Linked DNA regions of Xenopus tropicalis. The protein of the gene in region 4 purifies or fractionates together with the protein of the main gene of each other region. This does not show direct contact. Links are inferred from orthologs where the notes say so. Each region holds a gene or a part of one and is shown on either strand. Other genes may lie near its edges. The genes, in order: bod1, grwd1, l3mbtl2, wdr5, taf7, kdm6a and yaf2.

Region 1 (3,943 bases), on a different chromosome or scaffold from region 4:
TATAAACCCAGTGAGAATGAGGGATGAATGGATATTGGGAAGTTGTATCAGGAGTCAGAACCAGCAGTGCAGGGAAGGGAAAGGGACAGACACAGTGACAGTTACACATAACTATAAACCCAGTGAGAATGAGGAATGAATGGATATTGGGGAGTTGTATCAGGAGTCAGAACCAGCAGTGCAGGGAAGGGAAAGGGACAGACACAGTGACAGTTACACATAACTATAAACCCAGTGAGAATGAGGAATGAATGGATATTGGGGAGTTGTATCAGGAGTCAGAACCAGCAGTGCAGGGAAGGGAAAGGGACAGACACAGTGACAGTTACACATAACTATAAACCCAGTGAGAATGAGGGATGAATGGATATTGGGAAGTTGTATCAGGAGTCAGAACCAGCAGTGCAGGGAAGGGAAAGGGACAGACACAGTGACAGTTACACATAACTATAAACCCAGTGAGAATGAGGAATGAATGGATATTGGGGAGTTGTATCAGGAGTCAGAACCAGCAGTGCAGGGAAGGGAAAGGGACAGACACAGTGACAGTTACACATAACTATAAACCCAGTGAGAATGAGGAATGAATGGATATTGGGGAGTTGTATCAGGAGTCAGAACCAGCAGTGCAGGGAAGGGAAAGGGACAGTGACAGTTACACATAACTATTAACCCAGTGAGAATGAGGAATGAATGGATATTGGGGAGTTGTATCAGGAGTCAGAACCAGCAGTGCAGGGAAGGGAAAGGGACAGACACAGTGACAGTTACACATAACTATAAACCCAGTGAGAATGAGGAATGAATGGGTATTGGGGAGTTGTATCAGGAGTCAGAACCAGCAGTGCAGGGAAGGGAAAGGGACAGACACAGTGACAGTTACACATAACTATAAATCCTGTATCAGGAGTCAGAACCAGCAGTGCAGAGAAAAAAAAATAACCATTACAGACACTAGGCAAAACAGTTAATGGTTGTCTTTCCCCTTTAAGCTGGCCTCTGTCCAATAGGGTTGAACATATCAATTTTTTTACCCTAACTCTTAGTCTTACCTGGCACTGCAATGTCCTATGGGTATCTGGGAACTTCCAATTATTCAGTCCTTGGGCCAATCATTAGATCATACTGGGGGGCCTATTTACTGCCCCAAATCTCATTATACCAGGTGCCCATAGAAGCCCATGAAGAGAGGGGTACATCAGGGGGTCTGTGGTCTCCCACCATCCATCTCTTAACACACTGTCTCACATGGTCTCTGCATTCTGTTATTTACAGCACTGCAGCACGGTGAGACCATCAGTGACTCCATAGGAACAGCTCCATACAAACAAATGACACAAGCGACACATTGTGGGTTAGTCCTGCAATTATGGACAAAGTCATGGGGTGGAATTGCTCATTAGTATAACTGCCCCTTTGTCTTCTGCCTCAGCAACCAACATTTGTGTGACAAACACAGCTGGGGCCAAACAAACAAATTCCCAAATCCAAAGCTGCCATGTTGCTTACTCTCTCTTTTTATTTATTATTTCTTATTATAATTACTACTAACTCACATCTATAAGCATCAAAATACGTATTATAGACTAGTTTATATAGTAAAACCCATAAGATTAGCAGAACAATTGTACCATCAGGTTGTGGATCATGCAGTATCAAGTCAACTTTATCAGCTTAGTCGCTCTTCCCTGTACTTTCTCTATTTCATTACTGCCCCCCCTTATATATTTATATATAGTGACCTCCCCCCCTTAACTGCCCCTTCCCCAGTGTAACCAATCCCAACTGGGCCAGCCTTTCCCCATAACTGAGCCCATTCCCTTTATCAGCTTAGTCGCTCTTCCCTGTACTTTCTCTATTTCATTACTGCCCCCCCTTATATATTTATATATAGTGACCCCCCCCCCTTAACTGCCCCTTCCCCAGTGTAACCAATCCCAACTGGGCCAGCCTTTCCCCATAACTGAGCCCATTCCCTTTATCAGCTTAGTCACTCTTCCCTGTACTTTCTCTATTTCATTACTGCCCCCCCCTTATATATTTATATATAGTGACCCCCCCCCCTTAACTGCCCCTTCCCCAGTGTAACCAATCCCAACTGGGCCAGCCTTTCCCCATAACTGAGCCCATTCCCTTTATCAGCTTAGTCACTCTTCCCTGTACTTTCTCTATTTCATTACTGCCCCCCCCTTATATATTTATATATAGTGACCCCCCCCCCTTAACTGCCCCTTCCCCAGTGTAACCAATCCCAACTGGGCCAGCCTTTCCCCATAACTGAGCCCATTCCCTTTATCAGCTTAGTCGCTCTTCCCTGTACTTTCTCTATTTCATTACTGCCCCCCCTTATATATTTATATATAGTGACCCCCCCCCCTAACTGCCCCTTCCCCAGTGTAACCAATCCCAACTGGGCCAGCCTTTCCCCATAACTGAGCCCATTCCCTTTATCAGCTTAGTCGCTCTTCCCTGTACTTTCTCTATTTCATTACTGCCCCCCCCTTATATATTTATATATAGTGACCCCCCCTTAACTGCCCCTTCCCCAGTGTAACCAATCCCAGCTGGGCCAGCCTTTCCCCATAACTGAGCCCATTCCCTTTATCAGCTTAGTCGCTCTTCCCTGTACTCTCTATATCATTAACATCCCATTGGAACTCTGGAGCCCAGATCACACAACATTCAATATGGGCCATTACCAGTGCTGTAACTAGAAGCATTCAGCATATAGAGATTATTTTACCTGCCTCTAGCACCATAAAGAGTTACAGTTCGGTCAGATCCCATTGCCGTATCCCAGCATTCCCCAGTGAATCACCCTGTAGGTAGCAGAGAAGCAGCTCACCTGTCAGCACCAGCAGTAGCCGGAGGGCACACAACCATGGACACTGTCACCATCGAGGAGAAGCGGCAGGTTCAGTGACATTCCTCTTCATGCAGCCGCTGCCATTAGGCTAGTAGCCCCGGTAACAGCCCTTATTGTTATAAGGCCTGGGAGACGGTCCGACTTCGGAGGCTAAAGGGAAACCTGTGGGGAAGGCAGATGGGTCAGGAATTGGCTAGAGGGTTCAGCTGGGAAGTTTGTTATCTTTTAGCATGATATAAACATTATTTTGAGACAATTGCCTATATTTCAATATATACATATTATAGTATATTTACTATATAAATTGTGAAATATATAAATAATATCTTTTCATTCCAGACCTTTTCTTATTCATCTACCAGTCTGTCATTCACACAACTGCCTGGTTGCTAGGGCTAGTATGCCTAACAGATAATCAGCAGGTATGATTGGCCGATCACATGTTTAAAAGCAAAAGTCTGGTTGGTTGCTCAGGGTTAGTAGATCTGGTTTAACATTTGGGAATATAATTACATGACCCCCTGCACAACAAATAGTTCTAATTAATGCCCCAAAACCTTAATTTCCCCTGTGCCCTACAGAAAGGGATTATGCTGCTCTGCATGCAGGAAAGGTGTAGTTAGACTAAACTTCCCAGCATCCTCTCAAGATCAATCTAAGCGCTACAGTTAGTGTTAGAGAAGCACGAGCCACCAGCTGCTGAACTACAGCTCCCAGCGCTCTGCAGTGTATTATACGAAACATGGTTTTGGGCCAGAAGTAAAAGTTGTAACTTAAGAATCTTATACCTCCAACCTGTGCCCCAACTACAACTCCCATCATCCCTTGTTTAAACTCTGCAACTTGGAAAGAGATTCATGACCAGAGGCACCGCTAAAAAGAAGATACATTATACTGTACCCCCACTCTACTGTACCCCCACTCTACTGTACCCCCACTCTACTGTACCCCCACTCTACTGTACCCCCACTCTACTGTACCCCCACTCTACAGACAGAGGGGTCAGAAAAGAGATTAAGTGCAATCCCAACCCGATTCCCTTTCCCAGGAAAAGCCCATTGCACTAAGCCTATTTGT
Region 2 (3,956 bases), on a different chromosome or scaffold from region 4:
ATCCCACAGATGGATGTTCTTATTGCAGTCACCAGTAACCAAGCGCCCTAAAGAGGTAGTGAAAGGGAAGTAGAAGACTAAGTGAATCAAACTATTGATGTTTAACCTTTAAAAGCAGCTCATGTACCATTAGGCATTTTTACCAAGCCTTTATAATCAATAACAACTCATGGGAATTTGAGGCTTAAACTTTGGATAACTTTGATATGGTGTACCTGCTGTTTTTGGAGACCAATCCATTGCAAACCCTTCGGTCATGTGCCCGGAGAAAGAAAACACTGGTTTGATTTTGGCTTGTTCCTCCTTCAGAAAAGCAGCGAGCACCTGAGAGTCTGACACAGCCGACAGTTGCTTCCTTAGATCATAAATATCCACTTGCCCTTTCTCTGACCAGACAGCAGCCACGGGTACTTCCCCCATTGTAGATACCTAAAAGCAGAGACAAACCAATGATAATATAACAAACAGAAGTAGTTAAAAGCTCACATTTGCTTGTATACCACATATATGGATCTACTCGTATATAAATATATATTAGATTATCACTTTTTTAACATTTTGTTTCCCTTTAATGTTGCAGAGCATTCCAGGTCTGACATTTACAAATAAAACTACTAACAACAGTATTGTATACCACAGCAGAGGTCGCAATAGGGCAGCACTTCCTAGTTTAGTGTATACAGGTATAGGATCTGCTATCAGGAAACCTGTAATCCAAAAAGCTCCAATTTGCAGGAAGGCAATCTCCCATAGACTTGTAAGCAAATTATTTACATTTTTAAAAATTATTTCCTTTTTTCCCCTGTAATAAAACAGTAGCTTGTACTTGATCCCAACTAAGATATAATTACCCCTTATTGGGGGCAGAACAGCCCTATTGGGTTTAATGGTTAAATGATTCCCTTTTCTCTGTAATAATAAAACAGTACCTGTACTTGATCCCAACTAAGATATAATTACCCCTTATTGGGGGCAGAACAGCCCTATTGGGTTTATTTCATGGTTAAATGATTCCCTTTTCTCTGTAATAATAAAACAGTACCTGTACTTGATCCCAACTAAGATATAATTACCCCTTATTGGGGGCAGAACAGCCCTATTGGGTTTATTTAATGGTTAAATGATTTACTGAGATCCAAATTACAGAAAACCTCAGGTCCTGAGCATTCTGGATAACAGGTCCCATACCTGTATATCTTTTCCTAAACATGGCAAAGTTATAAAGACAAAAACAAATATGAGAACACAACCCGACTTACGCGAATTCTATTAATGCCACCATAATGAGGCACCATAGCGAGCTCTAACTGAGGCTTCTTTTCTTCCTCGTCCTCTTCTTCGCCACTGTCACTGCTTTCAGAATCGGAATCATCTTTCTTTTCCTTGCTTGTACGGTGCAAATTGTACATTTTCATTACCAGCATCCTATAAGAAAGAGAGGAAAAAGAGTTACACTTCCTTATACAGGCTGGGTGGATTCTCAGGTACTGTAGAACTGACAGTAAGTTCTGGTGAATAAAAGATACAAAGACAAGACAACTTGACCAAAGTCAGAAGACATCAGTTCTGTTCTGCAGACCTTGGCTTGAGTAATTGCTTTACAGCTGCTAAAATGAACAGCTGCCTACTAAGTGTCAGTCAGATATTGACAGTCAGTCAGTCTGATACTGCATGAACTACAGGCCAAAGAAGTGTTGGTCAAAGGCCAGATTATAGTAAAATGACAATGTCAAAAAGCCATTTGGCAAACTGGAGCCATAAAAATCACTTGGAAGTCTAGTGGGCCCCCAGCTGGGCAGCCTTATGGGGTTCATTTCAAATGTTTGATATTATATGTTACTGCAGATATGTTATTGCATTCTTTTTTTTCCCCCAATAAATACACGACCATATATAATTGATCAATTTGTTAAACGAGGTTTTCTTCATCTACTTTTGAGACTTAGAAAATCAGATGATGCTTATGTACCCCTGTACATAATCTATTTCTAGTACCTGTTGCCTTGAGCAGAGTCGGCCTGAGTACCAGCGCAGAGGTACATAGTCAGCGGGTAATCTGTGCGATTTTCCCCCAGGGTATCACGGATGACATCAAAACTTAAACATGGTGCACCTATAACACAATAAAAAAAGAAACCATTTAATTTTCATACAAAGAAGCAAAAAACTACAAGACAACCGTGTAGTATAGTTTTGTAGTTGACATTGCTGGGGTCCCAGGTTTGATTCCAGCCAGGGCATTATCTGCATGTTCCCCCTGTGCCCCCCTCCCCCAACACATACCGGCAAGTTAAGTCATTCCTAATAACTGTAGATATAACCTATGGAAAGTGCTGTGGAACACGTTGGAATTATTTATATACTTATAAACATATATTAAAGATATCATTATAAAATGACCAGGCTGGTAAGCTTGCATGGTAACTTGCCCTTTAAAGAGCCCGGGACTGTGCGCTGAACTTCCCGCCGCTCCCCTCCCTGCCCGACCGCTCCCCTATAAGGGATCCCAACACCGGGGAGCAGAAGGGAGCGTTACCTGTCTGTGCCTGGTGATACAGTACATACGCCTCCTGGTCCATCACCAGCTCTTCTCCCTCCTTAAGAGGCTCCATCCCGGGCAAATAGACCCGCTTGGGCCCTTTGTCCTTCTCATCGTCCTCCTCTTCTTCCATAATATCACCCTCGTCATCTTCATCCTCGCTGCCCGACTCTTCCATACCTTCATCTTCCTCCTCATCCTCTGCGGGATTTCTCCATGTGGTTTCCCCAGTGCCTGACATCTTGGAATCGGGCGACGTCACTTCCTCTGGCTTCGTCTGCCATGTGTTCTAACCTACTTCCGCTGACGCCTTGCCATTACTATGGAGGCGATGTGCAGCGGTCTCTACAGAATGTAGATGTAAAAATCTACCCATAAACCCAATAATAAAATGCAACAAGACACTCCAGACGTTAGCTAATTAGTTACTTGCTATTGTTAGAACTAAACGCAGAATGGTTTGCAATTAAGGCGGCCGTTATATATTAAAGACCAGCAGCAATACTTCTTGTATATGTATGTATATCTTTATTTATAAAGCGCTACTTATGTACCCAGCGCTGTACAGTAGGTTATTCATTAATACAGACAGGAGGTTAAAGATAATGGATAAATACAAAGTACAACAATAAATACAAATAAATACAAGGTGCAGTTGCAATAAGAGTCAGAAACACAAGATGAAGGAGGTCCCTGCCCCGTAGAGCTTACAATCTATATGGGAGGGGAACTTACAGATACAAATAGGCAAATATAAGTGCTGTAGGTCACAGTGGGTGACACTACAATATAAGTGCCAGTTCCCAGATCAGGTGCTGGGTGAGTGCTCCAAAAGGGAGTCTTTAAGTTTAGTTTTAAAAAGACTGAGGGAGGATTCTCTCCGGAGGAAATCAGGGAGGGCATTCCCAATGTAAGGGGCAGCAGGGCAGAAAGGTTTAAGGCGGAAAACAGCTGTAGTAGTTGGGGGCGCAACCAAACGGTTGCTCTGCGAGGAACGAAGGAGTCGGCCAGGAACGTGCGGAGACACCAGGGAAGAGATGTAGTGAGGGGCAGAGGAATGGAGGGCTTTGAAGGTTAAGAGAAGGAGTTTGTAAACTATTCTTTGTTTAACAGGAAGCCACAATAAGGCCTTTAGCAGGGGAAGGGCCTGAACTCTCCTGGGTGAGAGGAGGAGAATTCTGGCAGCGGTGTTTAATATAGACTGTAGGGGAGAAAGATGGGAGTTAGGGAGGCTGGTTAGCAGCAGGTTACAGTAGTCAAGTTGGGATAGCCTTATGGGGGAGTGGGGTGATAATCTGTAAATCAGCAAAGGGAGTGGAGAGGTCCCCAGTGCTCCTTATGAGAGCAAAATGTAAAAATTTTATTGTGGGGGTACTGTCTATGGGGGGCACTGTGTATGGGGGTACTGTCTATGGGG
Region 3 (3,500 bases), on a different chromosome or scaffold from region 4:
CCTTTAATTTGCTTGCTATTGATCCAATTGGCTGAATCATACCATCAAATCATAAAAAAAATATATATAAAAATTAATCCAAATGGAAGCTCCCAAACCATTCAGTGGTGGGGGAAATTAAACGGGATGTGCCAACTTCTGGACCAGCAAAGAGCAGTTGTAGTGGGAGATAATGTGAAAATGCTATTAAAAGTATATGGAATGGCCACCTAGTGGAAGAGATGAGAAAACTAGAAAGGATTACACACATTATACATAACAGAAGCAGCATATATTAGAAAATATGGGAGCCATGGCTCTCTTTTTTTAAAATCTAAAGCCCTCATACAAGCTTAGGAATGCTATGCTAGACTACTGCCTAGACAAAAAAAAAAAACCCCTTCACAATAGGTTTCCAGATTCTTAACAATAATTAACTCGCTGTCTTGACTTGTCACTGGGTTTGTCTGATGGGCAAAATTTGTCTGATGGTCATCCCTACCCTTTTGTACCCCTCATTTTTGTTTGAAAACTGAACATCCACATTAAAGTTTTTTAAAGGGGTGGTTCACTATTTCATAGAATGTACTATTCTGAAAAAACACAAATTAATAAAATAAAAAATAAAAAAATTAAATTAAAATGAAGTTAATTTAAAGTTAATTTAGTTTCTGCTGGAAGTAACGGTCTAAGCAATTGATGATCAAGACACAACTTCAATTTTTAAGTTGAATTTCTGTTGCCACTAACATTGTAGCTGTGAAACAGGGCCAGAGGCAGAAGAAGCAGGTGTCTAGGGTGCAACTAAGGGGCTCCTAGTATCATGCATCTGCTGCCTGCAGCACTGAGAATGCAAGCAGTTGGCAAGTAGGTTGGGCAGACATGGGAGCGTCTGAACCTTGGGCACCTGTAGCTCTTAACCTGGCCCTACTGAGAAAAACATAATGCACAATACAAGCCATACATTTGGTTAATAAAGCGGTGACTGCAGGGAAAAAAAGAAATACTATGGGGCAGATTTACTAGTCCACGAATCCGAATCCCGAAAGGGAAAAAATTGTATTGGAAACTTTTTGCGACTTTTTCGTCGCCCTCGCGATTTTTCGTATCTGTCGCGACTTTTTCGGCACCGTCGCGACTTTATCGTATTTTGTGCGATTATTTCGTCGCCGTCTCGATTTTTTTGTATTGCGCGATATTAAACGCCGGAAAACCCAATCCGATTTTTTTCGTGACGGCGACGAAAAAGTCGCGGAAAATATACAAAAAAGTCGCGACGGCGACTAAAAAGTCGCGAAAATACCGATCATTACGAAAAAACGCGTTCGGACGCTTTTGGTCTGTTCGTGGATTAGTAAATCTGCCCCTATATGTTGGGAAATTAAATGTCTTGGCATTCTACCACCTTCTCTACAAGGTTACCCTTATTGTTCATTGGCTGTTACTCTTACTTGTTTGAAGAGGTGAGGCACTGCATCACAGTATACCTTGCGGAAAGTGGGATGACTGGACATTTCAAATCGCTTCAGGTCTTAAAGAAAGATATACAATAGTGAGTTACAAAATCTAAGTCCTCTGCCCTTCCACAACACAATTCAAAAAGTGACTGGACAGAAGCCTGTATTGTATTAACCAAGAACCAAAAAACCTTAGCTGGGAAGGATGCAATAGATATATTTCTATACAACATTTAGGAACTATATACAGAAAAAAATTACCTGGAGGTTTGATATTATGGCCAACCTTACGAGCCCATCCTACAGGATGGATCAAAGGGCTGGTCATGTGGCACCAGAAATCATCATTTTTTTCTCCATCCTCATACAAAAGCCTCATTCGACCTCCAATTACTGTATCCACCACTGCCGATCTCATTCGTGACATCTTCATCTTGTCTACAGCCTCCAACCGCATGCCCTGTCTGAATGGGCATCTGAAGCTCTCTGCCATCTGAACATAATTTTTCCTGAATTAGTAATTAATACCAAAGACAGAAGGCGGAGACTAAAGAATGAAAGAAAAGCAGTAAAAGCTTCCCAGGACCCAGAGAAATATACAATCCCTAATCCGGGGGCAAGATGGACTCATTCTTATCTATATTATTATTCATAATGTAAATGGGCAATTACAGACTTTACCATTATATCATCAAGGTGCCCCCAAACACCTCCCTCCTAGTGGTCCAACCCTATTGGTCCCACTTGCTATCCAAGGATCTTAGAAACACATGCCTCTGTTCCTTCTTCACAAGTCTATATATGTAAACAAGGGACAAATACACATTTCTGCATCTGTTTAGATAACCTTGACATGGAAATCCGCAGGTATGGTATGGGAGCCGACCAATTTCTTCATAAGGTATTCTCTCCAGTCTGTAAACTTTGAAAGGATGGCTGCAAGGTAAGAAAACATGTGAAAATCATCTTCAGTTTCTGGGTAATTTGAAGTTCTCTTTTTTGCTTTCTATACCATGTGTTATAGGTATTTTCTTTTGTACAAGATACTAATTAAGGGGCTGGTTGACTTTCAAATAACTTTTTGATTGGACTTTTTCTTTTTTTATAGATAGTTTCTGAATTATTTGCTTTCTTCTTCTGACTCTCACCAGATTTCAATTGGGGGGGAGTCACCGACCCCAGCAAAAAATGCTACAATTAAGTACTTATCGTTATATTAAGGCCATCTCCTATTCAAATTCCAGCCTCTCATTAAAATCAATGCCTGGCTGTAAGGTTAATTTAGACCACAGCAACCAGCTGAATATAAAGCTAAATAACTAAACAAACACAAATAATAAAACAATTATCACAGAATAGCACTCTCTACATCATGCAAAACATTATTTTAAAGACAAACAACCCCGTTACGTATCCACATAGCCTAATATGAGTTTGATATCCTGGGCACAGAGGTTTTGCCCAAGGCCACAATAAGTTGAGACCATGATTACCAATAACAGACCCAAACCCCCAAGCCCACCAGCATAAAGAACCAGTAATATCATATAGTGAAAATGTATTTTAGAAGATACAGATCATTTATATACGGGTACTGATAATCTTATTAGGCACTAAGGCATTACCAGAGTCTGCCATCACAGCATCATCCGCAGGGCATTCCACAATCTCACTGCCCTCACCGAAAAGAACCATGGTAAAAGCACACATTTCAGGATTAACAACTCCGCTCAGGAAGCCTCATATACATCTGTTGCCTCACCCTTTCAGTTCTCTCCATAGACATGACTGGAAGTACAGCTGTCTTTAGAAAACACCCATACTAACACACACAAAACTTTTTTTTATTCTGTGAAATATTTCATACACTGGGGTGGAACCAATATTTTGCTGTTTACTGCACACCATCCAATGGGATGAATTTCCACTGTTCCCAAGTTGCACCAGTAGTTATGGCTCGAGTCTTCTTCAAAACCTTCATACTGAAGTAAAGCCTTGTAACCTAAAGGAATAAGCATTGCAGTTTTAGGTACATGCAAGAACATATATCATATAAAAAATTTG
Region 4 (3,937 bases):
CCTCTTTTCTTTAACCCTTTTGCTTAGCCAACAGGGCTCAGCTTTTTAAGTGGACAGGAGGTTAGGCCTAGCCTCTAGAGAGGCTCTGCCTACTACCAAGGCCACGTTTGCCCACTGGATTAACGAGGCAATTAGGCTGTTCCTGTGTCCCCCATGATGTAAGAGAAATAGGGAATGTATCCTGTGTTATCATTTTACCCCTCAATGAAGAAACACAAAAACATATTCTTCCCAACGGTAAGTCAATCAGGCCTCACCGAGCTCACGTCCCAGATTTTTAGAGTTTTATCGTCAGAAGCAGAAACCAGGAGGTTGGAGTCAGAGGACCAGGCGACATCAGATATTCCCTGAATATAAAAATAAAAAGAATAAATAAATAAAAGTTTCACTAATCGGATTTGATTAAGGGGGTTTATATTTCTTAACCAGTGCCAAATTAAAACACATGAAATCCCCAAGCCCGTCTATAAATTAGGGAGGCCCCTGGGGAGGTGTCTGGCAAATGCAAACTCTAATTGGCTTCTGCTGCACGGCGCTGGGGGGATAAGGTGCAAAACAGTATGGGTTTAATGTTACACGAAGCAGACGCTGGTGGAATTTAAATATATGGTGCTACAGGAATTCAACACCGGCTAGACGCGAGCAATAACAACAAAAGGTTCTTACCAACTTGTGGCCGGATATGGTTTTTTCAAACTTGCCGTCGTACGCCCCCCATATTTTGATTAACTTGTCGGCCGCTGAAAAGAACAAAAAAGTGACACTGTAGTTTCTTTAGGGCAAAGACATAACGATAGGTGGAATGTCACTTACATGAACTGGCGAGCCACTCCCCGTTCGGGCTGAATTTTACAGATGATACGGCCTTGGTGTGTCCGGCGAGGGTGAACTTTAGCGTGTAATTTGGCTTTACTGGTGCAGGCTATGAATAGAAGAGAAAAATGGGGATTTCAGAAATGTATTTTGCAGACATTGAGGCAGAGAGTTGGGGGAAACAATAGTTTTAAAATAAAAAACAGCCCCCTACAGTGACAGGGAGCCCCCAGGGCAGGCAGCCATGTTGTATGTAACCGCTGCACAAACCTGAAATTTGTCACATTCAGCACCCACCCCCTATATTTCATCTCTCTACAAACATCAGAGCCGCGTATTGGAAAGTACCCAAAAGTTGGTTGAGTCGAACGTATTCATGAGAAACCAGAAACAATTCAACTTAAATTCATAAAACTCCCAACCCTGGGTGAGGATCTACTGCCATATTTCAGTATATGAATGAGGAATGAATGGATATTGGGGAGTTGTATCAGGAGTCAGAACCAGCAGTGCAGAGAAGGGAAAGGGACAGACACAGTGACAGTTACACATAACTATAAACCCAGTGAGAATGAGGGATGAATGGATATTGGGGAGTTGTATCAGGAGTCAGAACCAGCAGTGCAGGGAAGGGAAAGGGACAGACACAGTGACAGTTACACATAACTATAAACCCCAGTGAGAATGAGGAATGAATGGATATTGGGGAGTTGTATCAGGAGTCAGAACCAGCAGTGCAGGGAAGGGAAAGGGACAGACACAGTGACAGTTACACATAACTATAAACCCAGTGAGAATGAGGGATGAATGGGTATTGGGGAGTTGTATCAGGAGTCAGAACCAGCAGTGCAGGGAAGGGAAAGGGACAGACACAGTGACAGTTACACATAACTATAAACCCAGTGAGAATGAGGAATGAATGGATATTGGGGAGTTGTATCAGGAGTCAGAACCAGCAGTGCAGAGAAGGGAAAGGGACAGACACAGTGACAGTTACACATAACTATTAAACCCAGTGAGAATGAGGGATGAATGGATATTGGGGAGTTGTATCAGGAGTCAGAACCAGCAGTGCAGAGAAGGGAAAGGGACAGACACAGTGACAGTTACACATAACTATAAACCCAGTGAGAATGAGGGATGAATGGATATTGGGGAGTTGTATCAGGAGTCAGAACCAGCAGTGCAGGGAAGGGAAAGGGACAGACACAGTGACAGTTACACATAACTATAAACCCAGTGAGAATGAGGAATGAATGGATATTGGGGAGTTGTATCAGGAGTCAGAACCAGCAGTGCAGGGAAGGGAAAGGGACAGACACAGTGACAGTTACACATAACTATAAACCCAGTGAGAATGAGGAATGAATGGGTATTGGGGAGTTGTATCAGGAGTCAGAACCAGCAGTGCAGGGAAGGGAAAGGGACAGACACAGTGACAGTTACACATAACTATAAACCCAGTGAGAATGGGGAATGAATGGATATTGGGAAGTTGCTTGAAAATACATTTTCTTTAGTCAATATTTTATCTTGGGTTGACATCCCCTTTAACTTTTAGTATGTTACAGAATGGCCAATTCTTGGGACCTCTTACTAAAAGTTAATTTTCTAAGATGTATATTTAAGTAGGAAAAGAATATGTAACCCTTTGGATCCTATAACCCTACTACACTACCCACCTATAAGAGGCCCTTTATATTAAGGGTATATTTAAAAAGCCAGAGGCGGATATATTTCCCCTTTAACATTACCCTTTATAAGCAGGATTAATGATCCATAACTGCTGGATTTCACACAAAAGTAACACCCAAAGCCTTACTGGAAGCATCTTGGCCGCTCCACATGTAGAAGAATACCAACCTTGCTCTGATTATTGGACGAGGATGGGGTGGATTGCGTCTTGGAAGCTTCAGTTTCGGGTTTCTTTTCTTCTGTTGCCATGGTGCAAGAACTGGAATGGGGCCCCTTGAGTTAGCAGATGGCCACTCCCACTATGCAGGCTAGGTGTTTGTAAACAAAGAAAAGGACATAATTAGCAATATTTATTACTTATTTACTACTATTTGTACCAGAAGCCTTTCCAGAATAATGTATTTATATGTGGTATGGGGTTCTCCTATTGTGCACGTGTGAGCATTGTGTAACAGTACAGGCAGTAGTGGGGCTGTAGATTTTTTGGGGAAACATTGTGGCCAATAGGGAGACCTTTCTGAGGGGGCGTGGCTGTTTGGGATATAATGGTATGGGGGGCTATTGGTGTGGCTGTGGGGTTAAAAAAAGAGGATATATAAAGGTATGGGGGCTATTGGTCTGGCTGTGGGGGTATAAAAGAGTATCTATATTGGTATGGGGGCTATCCGTGGGGGTATGAGGGAGGATATATCATGGTATGGGGGCTATTGGGGTAGCTGGGGGTATGAGAGAGAATATAAAGGAAAGGTATGGGGGCTATTGGGGTAGCTGAGGGTATGAGAGAGGATGTAAAGGAAAGGTATGGGGGGTATTGGGGTAGCTGTGGGTGTATGAGAGAGCATATATAAAGGTATGGGGGGGTATGGGGGTAACTGGGGGTATGAGAGAGGATATAAAGGAAAGGTATTGGGGCTATTGGGGTAGCTGAGGGTATGAGAGATGATATAAAGGAAAGGTATGGGGGGTATTGGGGTAGCTGAGGGTATGAGAGAGGATATAAAGGAAAGGTATTGGGGCTATTGGGGTAGCTGTGGGTGTATGAGAGAGGAGATATAAAGGTTATGGGGGCTATTGGGGTATCTGTGGGAGTATGAGAGAGGCTATATAAAGGTATGGGGGCTATTGGGGTATCTGTGGGGGTATGAGAGAGGCTATATAAAGGTATGGCGGCTATTGGGGTATCTGTAGGGGTATGAGAGAGGAGATATAAAGGTATGGGGGCTATTGGGGTAGCTGGGGGGTATGAGAGGGGATGTAAAGGAAAGGTATGGGGGCTATTGGGGTAGCTGTGGGTGTATGAGAGAGATATAAAGGTATGGGGGCTATTGGGGTAGCTGAGGATATGAGAGAGGATATATAAAGGTATGGGGGTAACTGGGGTGTTTGAGAAAGGATATAAAGGAAGGTATGGGGGCTATTGGGGTAGCTG
Region 5 (3,444 bases), about 30 Mb from region 4:
CACTCAGTGCATAGCCATTAATGGAAGGATCTTATCTAAGCAAACATCTGGATAGCAAAACTGTGCTCTTGTTGCTCACCACACATACAATGCTCAAACCTGGTGTTAAAGCTTCATATACGATATCAGGAGCATAGCTGAACTTTACAGGGGCTCTTTATGTACCCTAAAAGACACTTGCTTCACATAGGGGAGGTTCCTAAAGAACATAGGGGAGGTTCCTAAAGAAACTATAATAAAAAAAAATGGAAGAAAACAGTGCTAATCCAGTCACATTATTGTACATGAATTCCATTGGCACTGGAGTTAGAATTTTTTGGTTTGAACAAATAATCATGAAAATGAAGGTGTGGGGGTTGTGATTAATCGTTATTTAAGGAATTAGGAAGTATTACAAGTATGTTTCTTCGCACATTGTATCCTTGAAAATTGTCCGTCTTCCCAGTAGCAAGCTGCCTGATGTAAAAATGGGTTTCACCACAAAGAAGCTAATCACAAAATTATGGGTAACAAAGACTTTTATTTGGATGGAATAATAGGTGGAGAAAAACAGACATGACAAAGTGTAAAATAATCATTTACAGTTCATCTGTAGCTGCCAATATTCTTTTTTTTTTTTTTTAAAAAAAAAAAGCAAAGTGACACTGCCTTAACACTAATGTTACGAACAAGCCATTCGTAAATGTGCTTAGTTCACAATGGGCTCTAACTCAAACATTTGGGTTCACAATCTGACCATAGTTGTTTGTAGGCATCAAAATCTTCCATATTAAAGAAAACAGCTGTTAGATAACAAAGGCAAAATTCTAATGTTTTCTCCAGAAAAATCCCAGCAAAACGGATACTTGTATACTTGTATACTCATAGGGGCGCATTTACTAATCCACGAATCCGAATCCTGAATGGGAAAAAATCGGATTGTAAATGAAAATTTTGCACCTTTTTCGTCGCCGTCGCGTTTTTTTCGTATTTTGCACGATTTTTTCGTCGCCGTCACGACTTTATCGTATTTTGTGCTACTTTTTCGTCGCCGTTGCAATTTTTCTTATTGAGCAATTGTAAACAGCGGAAAAACCAATCCGATTTTTTCACGACGGTGACGAAAAAGTCGCGACAATTCGCGAAAAAGTCGCGACGGCGACGAAACGCATTCGGACGTTCGTGGATTAGTAAATGTGCCCCATAGTGTAACGCACTGTTGGACTGGAAACAAACAGCAGGCAAATAGGTTAAATTATGAATACTGGGGTTATAATCCTTGCACCTTGAACATTCCAGTAAAAACGAAAAAAAATCATACATGTAAGGTTCTTTTGCTTATTTGGACTTTCTGTATTGTACAGCAGGCATTTAGTCACAGCACAAACCATTACAGGATCTAAACATCCTCAAGCAGTCACGTTCGAATGGCCTAAAGTAAAATATCTGTTTGGATGTATAATTTTCAGCACAAACAAAATTAAGGGAGACCCAGTCCTCATTGTTTCCTAAATGGAAGGATTTCCTCTGAAAGTGAACATTCTGGAGGATGTGGTAAAAAGCAGTACATCTACAGCAGGGAGGCCAAGTCATAAATATCAAGGAAACCACATCGGAACCTCTTTATTTCTCTATTAGAGTCTCGAGCTGCTCCTGCAGGGATGTCAGCTAGGAAAGAGAAGAGATTATCACAAGGACTGGTGTAAAATAGGTACTGCTACATTTGGTACACTTTATCACCTCCCATTACCATATTAACATTATAATATATTTACAAAAATAAACCATATAAATGGTACATTTATAATGCCTCTGGCTACAGAAAAACGGGCATGCACAAAAGAATAGCTATATCAAACTATGGGATTTAGCAAGGCAATGACAGAATAATAATGCTTGTGTGAAAGGAGAGACTGTTCTACACTATCCTTTTCTTCTATCTACTCCAGTAAAGTTTTAAAAGCATGGGCCAGCTTTTGATTCTTCTGACATCAGCTGGATACTGGACAACTGTGTAGAGATGCTGGCCCATACAAATTCACTGGGGGCCCTAAGTCAACTAGGAAAAAACAAACAGCCTCAAACAGTCTCAAGATGCACAGTCTGTCATCTTCTATTTTCTGTCAGTAGCGTGACTGTATGCATTTTTGTCTGCTTTTGGGGATACACACTGAGAATTACTGCACTTGATAAGCAATAATTCTCAGTCTCCCTGCACACAGTTAGCAAATAACAATGTCGCCAATATACAGCCATACTGCAAAACACAAAACAATGGAAAAAACTTGGAACTATGTCACAGCATTCATTTTGTCCCTTAAATAAGATAAATCTAAGCAATGGGTCACAGACTATAAAGCCATAATACATACCTGTTGCTTTTCTCTTTCCTCCTGCTGCCTAAACTCATCCAACACAGCTTGTAAGCGAGTCTAAAATAAAGAAAGAAAGTTTGTGTGAAATAGCTGCATGGCCAGATACAATCATCAAACTTGTATCAACCCATCTATAATAATCAACCAAAAACAGAAAGAGTAACTACATTCACCATCTTTCACACAGAGGGAGTGTGCCCAGACCCCTAGACCCCCATGGCCATTGTTTACATCCATACTGTATACCCTACAATCTTTGTTTGCCTGTAACTTCCAGTTTCTGGTATGCATTAGTAGTCTTGCACAAGGAGTGTGCCCGGCCCTTCTACTTCATGTGTATTTGAACATTGTGCTCAACCATTTCTCTTGCAAGGAGTGAATGCCCAGGTTCTCATATGCCTGGAAAAAATTGCTCTTAGACACTTCTTACATAAACAGGAGCCCTATCCTGTCCATCCTACCCTATCTTGCATGCCTACATAAATGTCACACACACATATTGCTAAACATAAAATGACCATAGTTAAGCATTTACTGAATCCACTTATATACATTTTCTCTCTCACACAAGGCAACAGTGCTGCAATCATGTGTTACCTTCAGTGCTACATTTTCAACCTTCATTATAAGCTCTTCTTGTCTTTTTCTTCTTTCCTGTGTCTCTCGCAGTTTCTTTTGTAAATTTTCCAGCTGTTTCTGCATCTCCAGAACTGATACATAGGGAAATGGGATATCATTAAGATCAACTTCCCCATAAGTTCTGCATTCTTCTCTGGCTAAAATATTACTTTCACTATAAAAAAAACAAAAAAAAAAAAAACTTGTGCTCCGCTATACTCTCACCAATCTGGTTAGTGCCTCCCTTTTGACCATCCTGTCCTGCCCTCTGCTCCTCCTCAGTCTCCATGATATTAAGATCTTCTTCTTCCTGGCGTTCTCCCTCCTCTTCTTCTCCATCACTGCTACTACTGATGTCATTAAAGATCTGACGCAATTCTTCCCTCTCCACTGCTGGAAAGAGAGAGACATGTTGGGAAAGACAAGTTAGAGCTTAAGATGGAGGGAATAAGAATAATTTAAAAAAGCTAAT
Region 6 (3,500 bases), on a different chromosome or scaffold from region 4:
GATTCAGGGCACATTGGTTTATCTATAATATAAAGTTTTGTACTGTTTTCCCCACTGGGGTCTAAGGAAATACAGATTACCTGTGCAGCTAGACCTTAATAGTATTACCTAATTTTAAGCACATAACTGGTTTGCCCTCCATATCTTTAGTATTGTCTGAACAGTGTTAATTACACACGTGTATAAGTATTAGAAATATTTTTCCATAATCTCAAACAAAAAAAAATCTTGCGCACCAACAAATATGCAGTGAGGAAATGATTATATAGAACACACAATTCTCTCATAATAATTTATTGTCTGTAGACTGAAAAGCAAAAGTTAAAGGAACAGTTCAGTGTAAAAATTAAACTGGATAAAATGGATAGACTATGCAAAATAAAAAATATTTGTAATATAGTTAGGCAAAGACGCAATCTATAAAGGCTAGCGTGAGCAGATGTCTAACATAATGGGCAGAACTTTACATCTGCTTAATAATATACCACTGAAGCACTACATTAGAAATATTCTGAAAGCTTATTTCCTTGCAAGGTACAGAAAGCTCAAGATCTCTTACCTGAGTGGAGTTAGTTAGTTGGTTTTTCCACGGCTCCTCTGCGCTGCTGGTCAGGTTTGTGCGGTTATGAGGTAGTGCGAGTGCGTTTCGCTGCGGGTAAGGCACATTTCCATTACTTCCATTTCCCGTAATATGATTATTGCCTATCAACATAGTGTCTGCACTGCCCACTGGCCCTGTGGTACTGCAGGAAACTTGGCCTACTGGAAATGGTCCATTAGCCACAGGCTGCGCAGGGCAAGCCGGACGGATTCCAGGCTGAGCGGCATTAGGCATCCTGGTTAATGCAACCTGATGTTGCTGACCAGTGAGTGAGTTTGTAGGCAGTGTTGAGTCAGCAGTTGGCCCGTTAGCAATTCCAGTAGAACGTACCTGTGAAAGTCCAGTTTGTCTCATCTGTTAGAAAAAAATATAAAAAAATATGATGATGATCATTTAGGCAAATGGAAATAAATTCCTCTAATCAGTAAGTAAACCTAAAAGTCACTACTGAAATAAAGTGCTGTATGAGTGCAACACATTTGTAATCCTTTTAGTGATAACTGTGGTAAATAAATCTAATGGCTTAAATGCCAGTTTCGTATGGTTGAAATACTTAAGAATAATGGAATAAGTTAAGGATTAGATAAGGCAAAGGAAAATACTATTCTGTCAAATCCTAAAAATATATTTTATGCAATTATACATGGCATTGTAATTACAAAAAACTGTATAGACCTCCATTATAGATTTGCAAACTGTGGGGCTGGTCATTTAGGGTGCCAAAATTTTTGCCAAAATCCAGACTAAAATTAGACCTAGATCCTAAAGGCCTGACAGGGTGGAATATCGAGTAAACCCTTTAAATAGATACTGACAGCACTATAGCAGTATGACAAAACCACTTATATTTTCAAATATCTAACTTTGAGAGGAGTCAAGCAGGCACTAACTAAATGCTGGGCCTCAGAGGGACCAAGGTGTTGAATGCAAAAACTTTGGAAAATACAGCTGCAGTAGAAATCTGCAGATCTGCATTATTTGAGTACAGAAGCATCTACCTGCTGTTGCTGCTGCATTAAGACAAACTGAGCCTCCAACTGCTCCAACGCCGCTTTTTGTGCTGGATTCAGATTATTCCTGTTTGCTCGTAGCTGTTCCAATTGCTAAAATCAGATAAGTTAATTTTACATGGTGTAAGACACAAAATCTGCACGTGAAATGCTAATCTTTAAATCAATACTATATTGTAATATGTTTACTATAAGTATTCCATAAAAACTATTTTCAAACATCCTGAGGTCTAAAAGATCAACTGGTGTGAAGATAAGTTTAGATACACAGGGTAGTAAACATTGGTTTTAAGCATTATTTTTTTAGAATTTTAATAAAAAATGTGTTTGTGTTTTCAGGCTTTAAATGTAAACTGCTATTCGGTTGCTATTAGCTGAATTACCCTACCAATAAGACAGAAATATGATAGGGATTTAAATAAATTAATGAAATTGTAATCTCATACACATTACTTTTTGGTTGCTAGAATGCAGCGACCCTGACAGCAAATAGTGATGCACCCATAGATTTTTTTGCTTAAAAATATTTAGTTCTAGCTCTAACCCACCCATTTCTGTGTGCATACATTTTTTGTCCACACAGCCAAGAAATTAGGGGGAACTTCTGACTTATAACATCCTTATATTTTACAATAGAAAATACATTTACTACATATTTTGGCTCGTCTTCACTTCCTCATCTGACTGCAACAAAACACGGACTGGTCATCTGTAAGCCACAGGACCACAGGATTGTCTATAAAAGTTGACCCTTAAGCCGACATTCATGCTCAGATGGTCTTGCAGTTTATATCCCCCAAAAACTTTAACCAAAGCTGGAAATGTACCTCATCTAGCCTAATATAGCTTCAGTATACACTACATGCTTTTAAGTGCACTGTCAATACCCCATGCTCACCCCATGCTTGAGCACTTATTTAGAATGGATTTTAGCACAGTAATGCAAAAAAACAAAAAAAAAACAAAATGCACTTTTGTGCCAACACATATCTACACACCAGCAAAGAAAAAAACCTGTGTACAATTAGCCTTAACCCCTTGTATTGCTTATCAGTGTGTGACCAGTATGTTCAATATATACACCATTTTATTTTACAGCACTGAATAATATGTTGACATTTTATAATTACATTAAAATATGCCCACATTTCCACTTTAAAATTGCAAATATTTACAAGGATCTTACCATGACAATATAGGAGCAGAAAAGTGCTTATTGTAGGGCAAAGGTTAGGGCAAAGGTTACCTGGCATAATATAGAAACTTTGGTTTTGGGAGTGTCACTTTCAACCAATGCCTTCTCTAGTTTCTTGTTATGTAAACCCAAATGTAGGTCAGAAGATGATGCTAATGAAGATTGTTTGATTTTCATCAAAGCCAATAAAATATCTTAACCTCCCCCAAAAAACAAACAGTTGTTTGGATATTGCATTACTTTCAGTGCTTAATTCAAAACTAAAACAACCAAGAGAGAGACAGAAACAGCATAGGACTATTCATACCTGTACTTTGTGTGGCGGCAAACACCACGAATGTACTTGTTGCTGTCCTGGAGTATGTGACGCCAAATGGCCACTGCTCCAGGTATCAGAAGTATTCTATTGAAAAAAGAAATTATTGAGAACTCTTGATAATAGAACACTTTTAAACTGTATTCCAACTGCAATATGTTACAGGCAAAACAATCTATGTTCTTCAAATATTTGGTGCAATACTTAAGCACATTCATATGAAAAATTATTTGAGCGAACTTTCCTTCATTTTACATGTAATTAACTTAAATGAAGTGGATGGTTTAAAAAAAATAAATAAATAACAGCATGGGCCACATACATTTTTGGCATGTGAAATACCTTTGCTGGACTAGATGTTCTTTTCCTCTTGGCAGG
Region 7 (2,634 bases), on a different chromosome or scaffold from region 4:
TTGTGGTTATAGCTCTAGAGAGCTACTTTATTACAGCAATAATGTTGAGATTCATCCATGGTTTCATGTCAAAGCTGACTATATGATGAACAACTGACATTGCAGTAGTGACTTCCCAAGAACAGTACACAGAAAATAATCACTGCAATGAAAATATTGAATTACTTGAATAAAAACTGAATGACTTGACTAAATATTTGTCTGTAGTCTAGAAATGTGAGAAAGCTGCAGATATATGTATCTGCTGGCAATAAGTCAATTGAGTAAGTGCTGTAAGAGACATTCCACTATACCTAGTGTTAACCACTGCAAAAATAAAAAAGGCAGTGACAGCGCAAGAGAATTACAGATCAAATACATCAGTATGGTTACAGAGCAACCTACTCAAAGCAACTTTACAATTGGTTTTCATTATTTATTTTAAACTGTTGTGAAAATGGTTTCAAAATGAAAAGGCTAGCTTCTTGTCACAGTCACTGACCCCCGCCAACCAAGGGTTAAATTGTTTTATTCATATTTGTCATTCTTTTTTGGCCCTCTCTTACTGATCTTCCTGAATGCTGACTTGCTGCAACCAGTTAGCAGTTTAAAGGTGGAGCTTTTTGTATCTATTTTAAAAATCACAAAAAAAAATATAGAAAGGCCAATTGCAAATAATCTTAGAATTCTGCTGTGTACAAGCTAATTTATAAAAAAAATACCTTGTCTTCTTATGGCTATTCTTCTTGATCATGGTTTCCTTTTCACTCTTTTCCTTCTCAATTTTATCTTTTTTCTCTTTCTTTGTTTGCATGGGAGGCACAAACTGCTGGGTTACTTGTTGTGCAACCAACTGGGAAACAGGTCGAGGTTTTCTATAAGGAAAAAATGAAAATTTGCAATTGTACTTTTACGGCAATGCTTAAAATGTGGAAACCTGTATATTAAAAAGTAAAAAATTGCTTTCTCAAAAGGATCAAGTGGGAATTGAAGAGGGAAGGGAAAAGCAGTGTTTTAAGAAATTTGTAAACAGAAATGAATCATCATATTCATATAACCAACTGAATGCATATTAAAACAAAAAAGGCCTGTATTGGTACAGCTGCATTTGTACCAATTTAAAAAGTATGTTTAAGGTCTGATCACTGAATTACATTGTTTTCTTTGGGGGAAATAATTTTCTAGCAGCTCATTTTGTAGTCTGTTCTGTCTTCCTTGAAGCACACATTGCACCCTAGATTCTGCAGTTTCAGATGGCCACATAATTGAATTTTAAAACCTCTCTCATTGCTGTTTTTTCTGCTGCCTGTTTTATCCATACATTTTCCTTGGCAAGTACAGATTATCTGTGTACCCCAGTCATACAACCAGAAACTGCAGGAAAGAGACACTATGATATAAGGGAATGAACTATAAATTAATGATTTTGGGGCTCACAGAACTAATTTCATACCAAAATGCCATTTTCAAGAAAAGGACTGCGTTCCCCAGTCAATAATTTAGCTTTGTGGGTGGAGTTTGCATCACTAGTTTGTTTAAAACTAGGGATGCACCGTATCCAGGATTCAGTCTTTCTCAGCAGGATTCTGATTTGGCCAAATTCATGCGTCAGGCCAAACCAATCCCAAAATTCAAGTGACTTTTTGTCACAAACACATCAGTTTGGTATTTGGACGAATCTTTCTTTAAATGGAAATATCTTCTATGGTTACAAGGAAAAAATACATAAGAGGGCATTGTTTGAGAAAGTAATTTTGTCCTTGCATACAAAGGTGTATTAATAGAACCTCCTTTCTTTTCTCAAAAACAGCAGGTTTTCCATGTTTTATGACCAAGATTCTAGCTATTTTCATAAGTGGTCTTTGTAAATTTGTAAACTAATTCTCTCTCTTACACATTGCTCACATAATTACTGATTTATGGGAATTTCGACTTACGCAACTGGAAAAAATTGTGACAAAATGCCAAGAGCTGTCTCTGTGAACAGTACAAAATTTTTAAGCAATGTAAATTTAAAAACAAGGATGTAAGTCCCCTTTAAATATAATGTATCTTACTGTGTGTGTTTGCTTTAGAAGCCGTACAACTGCTTATATATATTAGCTGTCATGAAACCAGCCATTCAAGCTGAAATTGGGCTATAGGGCCACATTTAATGGTCCCCATACACGGTAAGATCCGCTCGTTTGGCGAGATCGCCAAGCGAGCGGATCTTCCCCCGGTATCCCCACCTACGGGTGGGCGATATCGGGGAGCTAGAAGTTAAAAAAAAATAAATAATCCGATCGTTTGGTTCAGGGACCCCCGATCCGACTGAATCTTTTAACCTGGCCGATCGATATCTGGCCAATTTCAGGCCAGATATCGTTCAGCCAGTCCGCTCGTTTCTGCCCCTACAGGGGCAGATAAGCTGCCGAGTCGGTCCAAGGGACCGATATCGGCCCATGTATGGGGGCCTTTAGTAGCAGAAAAATTACAAACTGTTTAGAATACAATTACTTTAGTTCTTACACAGGAGGATAATCAGGAATCACTTTCAACAGACAATCCAATGATCCTACTGGATTTTAGTTGCTCTATCTGGATTGAAAACTACTACATTTCATTGTGTGCACTAAATATATTCACAGAATATTATGGGTTAAATGGAGGTGA

The links.
Region 1: the proteins of wdr5 (region 4) and bod1 purify together in Homo sapiens (affinity purification with mass spectrometry; 3 studies listed by BioGRID and IntAct, counting the BioPlex papers as one, with this or other methods). This does not show direct contact. The link is inferred for Xenopus tropicalis from reciprocal best matches to the Homo sapiens genes WDR5 and BOD1.
Region 2: the proteins of wdr5 (region 4) and grwd1 purify together in Homo sapiens (affinity purification with western blotting; 3 studies listed by BioGRID and IntAct, with this or other methods). This does not show direct contact. The link is inferred for Xenopus tropicalis from reciprocal best matches to the Homo sapiens genes WDR5 and GRWD1.
Region 3: the proteins of wdr5 (region 4) and l3mbtl2 purify together in Homo sapiens (affinity purification with mass spectrometry; 4 studies listed by BioGRID and IntAct, counting the BioPlex papers as one, with this or other methods). This does not show direct contact. The link is inferred for Xenopus tropicalis from reciprocal best matches to the Homo sapiens genes WDR5 and L3MBTL2.
Region 5: the proteins of wdr5 (region 4) and taf7 purify together in Homo sapiens (affinity purification with western blotting; 3 studies listed by BioGRID and IntAct, with this or other methods). This does not show direct contact. The link is inferred for Xenopus tropicalis from reciprocal best matches to the Homo sapiens genes WDR5 and TAF7.
Region 6: the proteins of wdr5 (region 4) and kdm6a purify together in Homo sapiens (affinity purification with mass spectrometry; 7 studies listed by BioGRID and IntAct, counting the BioPlex papers as one, with this or other methods). This does not show direct contact. The link is inferred for Xenopus tropicalis from reciprocal best matches to the Homo sapiens genes WDR5 and KDM6A.
Region 7: the proteins of wdr5 (region 4) and yaf2 purify together in Homo sapiens (affinity purification with mass spectrometry; 4 studies listed by BioGRID and IntAct, counting the BioPlex papers as one, with this or other methods). This does not show direct contact. The link is inferred for Xenopus tropicalis from reciprocal best matches to the Homo sapiens genes WDR5 and YAF2.

Annotation. Positions count from the first base shown.
Region 1 is NC_030680.2:152,363,076-152,367,018, reverse strand, and holds the start of bod1 (biorientation of chromosomes in cell division protein 1), read right to left. Parts: upstream 2,801-3,943; 5' UTR 2,744-2,800; intron 1,144-2,743; exon of another isoform or gene 1,053-1,143; intron 1-1,052. UniProt on the Homo sapiens protein: Required for proper chromosome biorientation through the detection or correction of syntelic attachments in mitotic spindles.
Region 2 is NC_030683.2:114,831,831-114,835,786, forward strand, and holds the start of grwd1 (glutamate-rich WD repeat-containing protein 1), read right to left. Parts: upstream 2,801-3,956; 5' UTR 2,781-2,800; coding exon 2,537-2,780; intron 2,114-2,536; coding exon 1,996-2,113; intron 1,426-1,995; coding exon 1,260-1,425; intron 430-1,259; coding exon 216-429; intron 48-215; coding exon 1-47. UniProt on the Homo sapiens protein: Histone binding-protein that regulates chromatin dynamics and minichromosome maintenance (MCM) loading at replication origins, possibly by promoting chromatin openness.
Region 3 is NC_030680.2:116,007,820-116,011,319, forward strand, and holds part of l3mbtl2 (lethal(3)malignant brain tumor-like protein 2), read right to left. Parts: intron 3,439-3,500; coding exon 3,304-3,438; intron 2,373-3,303; coding exon 2,284-2,372; intron 1,930-2,283; coding exon 1,698-1,929; intron 1,511-1,697; coding exon 1,431-1,510; intron 1-1,430. UniProt on the Homo sapiens protein: Putative Polycomb group (PcG) protein. PcG proteins maintain the transcriptionally repressive state of genes, probably via a modification of chromatin, rendering it heritably changed in its expressibility.
Region 4 is NC_030684.2:8,199,565-8,203,501, forward strand, and holds the start of wdr5 (WD repeat-containing protein 5), read right to left. Parts: upstream 2,801-3,937; 5' UTR 2,758-2,800; coding exon 2,677-2,757; intron 923-2,676; coding exon 814-922; intron 741-813; coding exon 667-740; intron 348-666; coding exon 258-347; intron 1-257.
Region 5 is NC_030684.2:37,700,089-37,703,532, reverse strand, and holds the end of taf7 (transcription initiation factor TFIID subunit 7-like), read right to left. Parts: intron 3,366-3,444; coding exon 3,198-3,365; intron 3,065-3,197; coding exon 2,952-3,064; intron 2,412-2,951; coding exon 2,352-2,411; intron 1,648-2,351; coding exon 1,603-1,647; 3' UTR 1,155-1,602; exon of another isoform or gene 957-1,154; 3' UTR 501-956; downstream 1-500. UniProt on the Homo sapiens protein: The TFIID basal transcription factor complex plays a major role in the initiation of RNA polymerase II (Pol II)-dependent transcription.
Region 6 is NC_030678.2:55,786,555-55,790,054, forward strand, and holds part of kdm6a (lysine-specific demethylase 6A), read right to left. Parts: coding exon of another isoform or gene 3,465-3,500; intron 3,210-3,464; coding exon 3,114-3,209; intron 1,705-3,113; coding exon 1,600-1,704; intron 956-1,599; coding exon 560-955; intron 1-559. UniProt on the Homo sapiens protein: Histone demethylase that specifically demethylates 'Lys-27' of histone H3, thereby playing a central role in histone code. Demethylates trimethylated and dimethylated but not monomethylated H3 'Lys-27'.
Region 7 is NC_030679.2:64,866,636-64,869,269, reverse strand, and holds part of yaf2 (YY1-associated factor 2), read right to left. Parts: intron 855-2,634; coding exon 702-854; intron 1-701. UniProt on the Homo sapiens protein: Binds to MYC and inhibits MYC-mediated transactivation. Also binds to MYCN and enhances MYCN-dependent transcriptional activation. Increases calpain 2-mediated proteolysis of YY1 in vitro.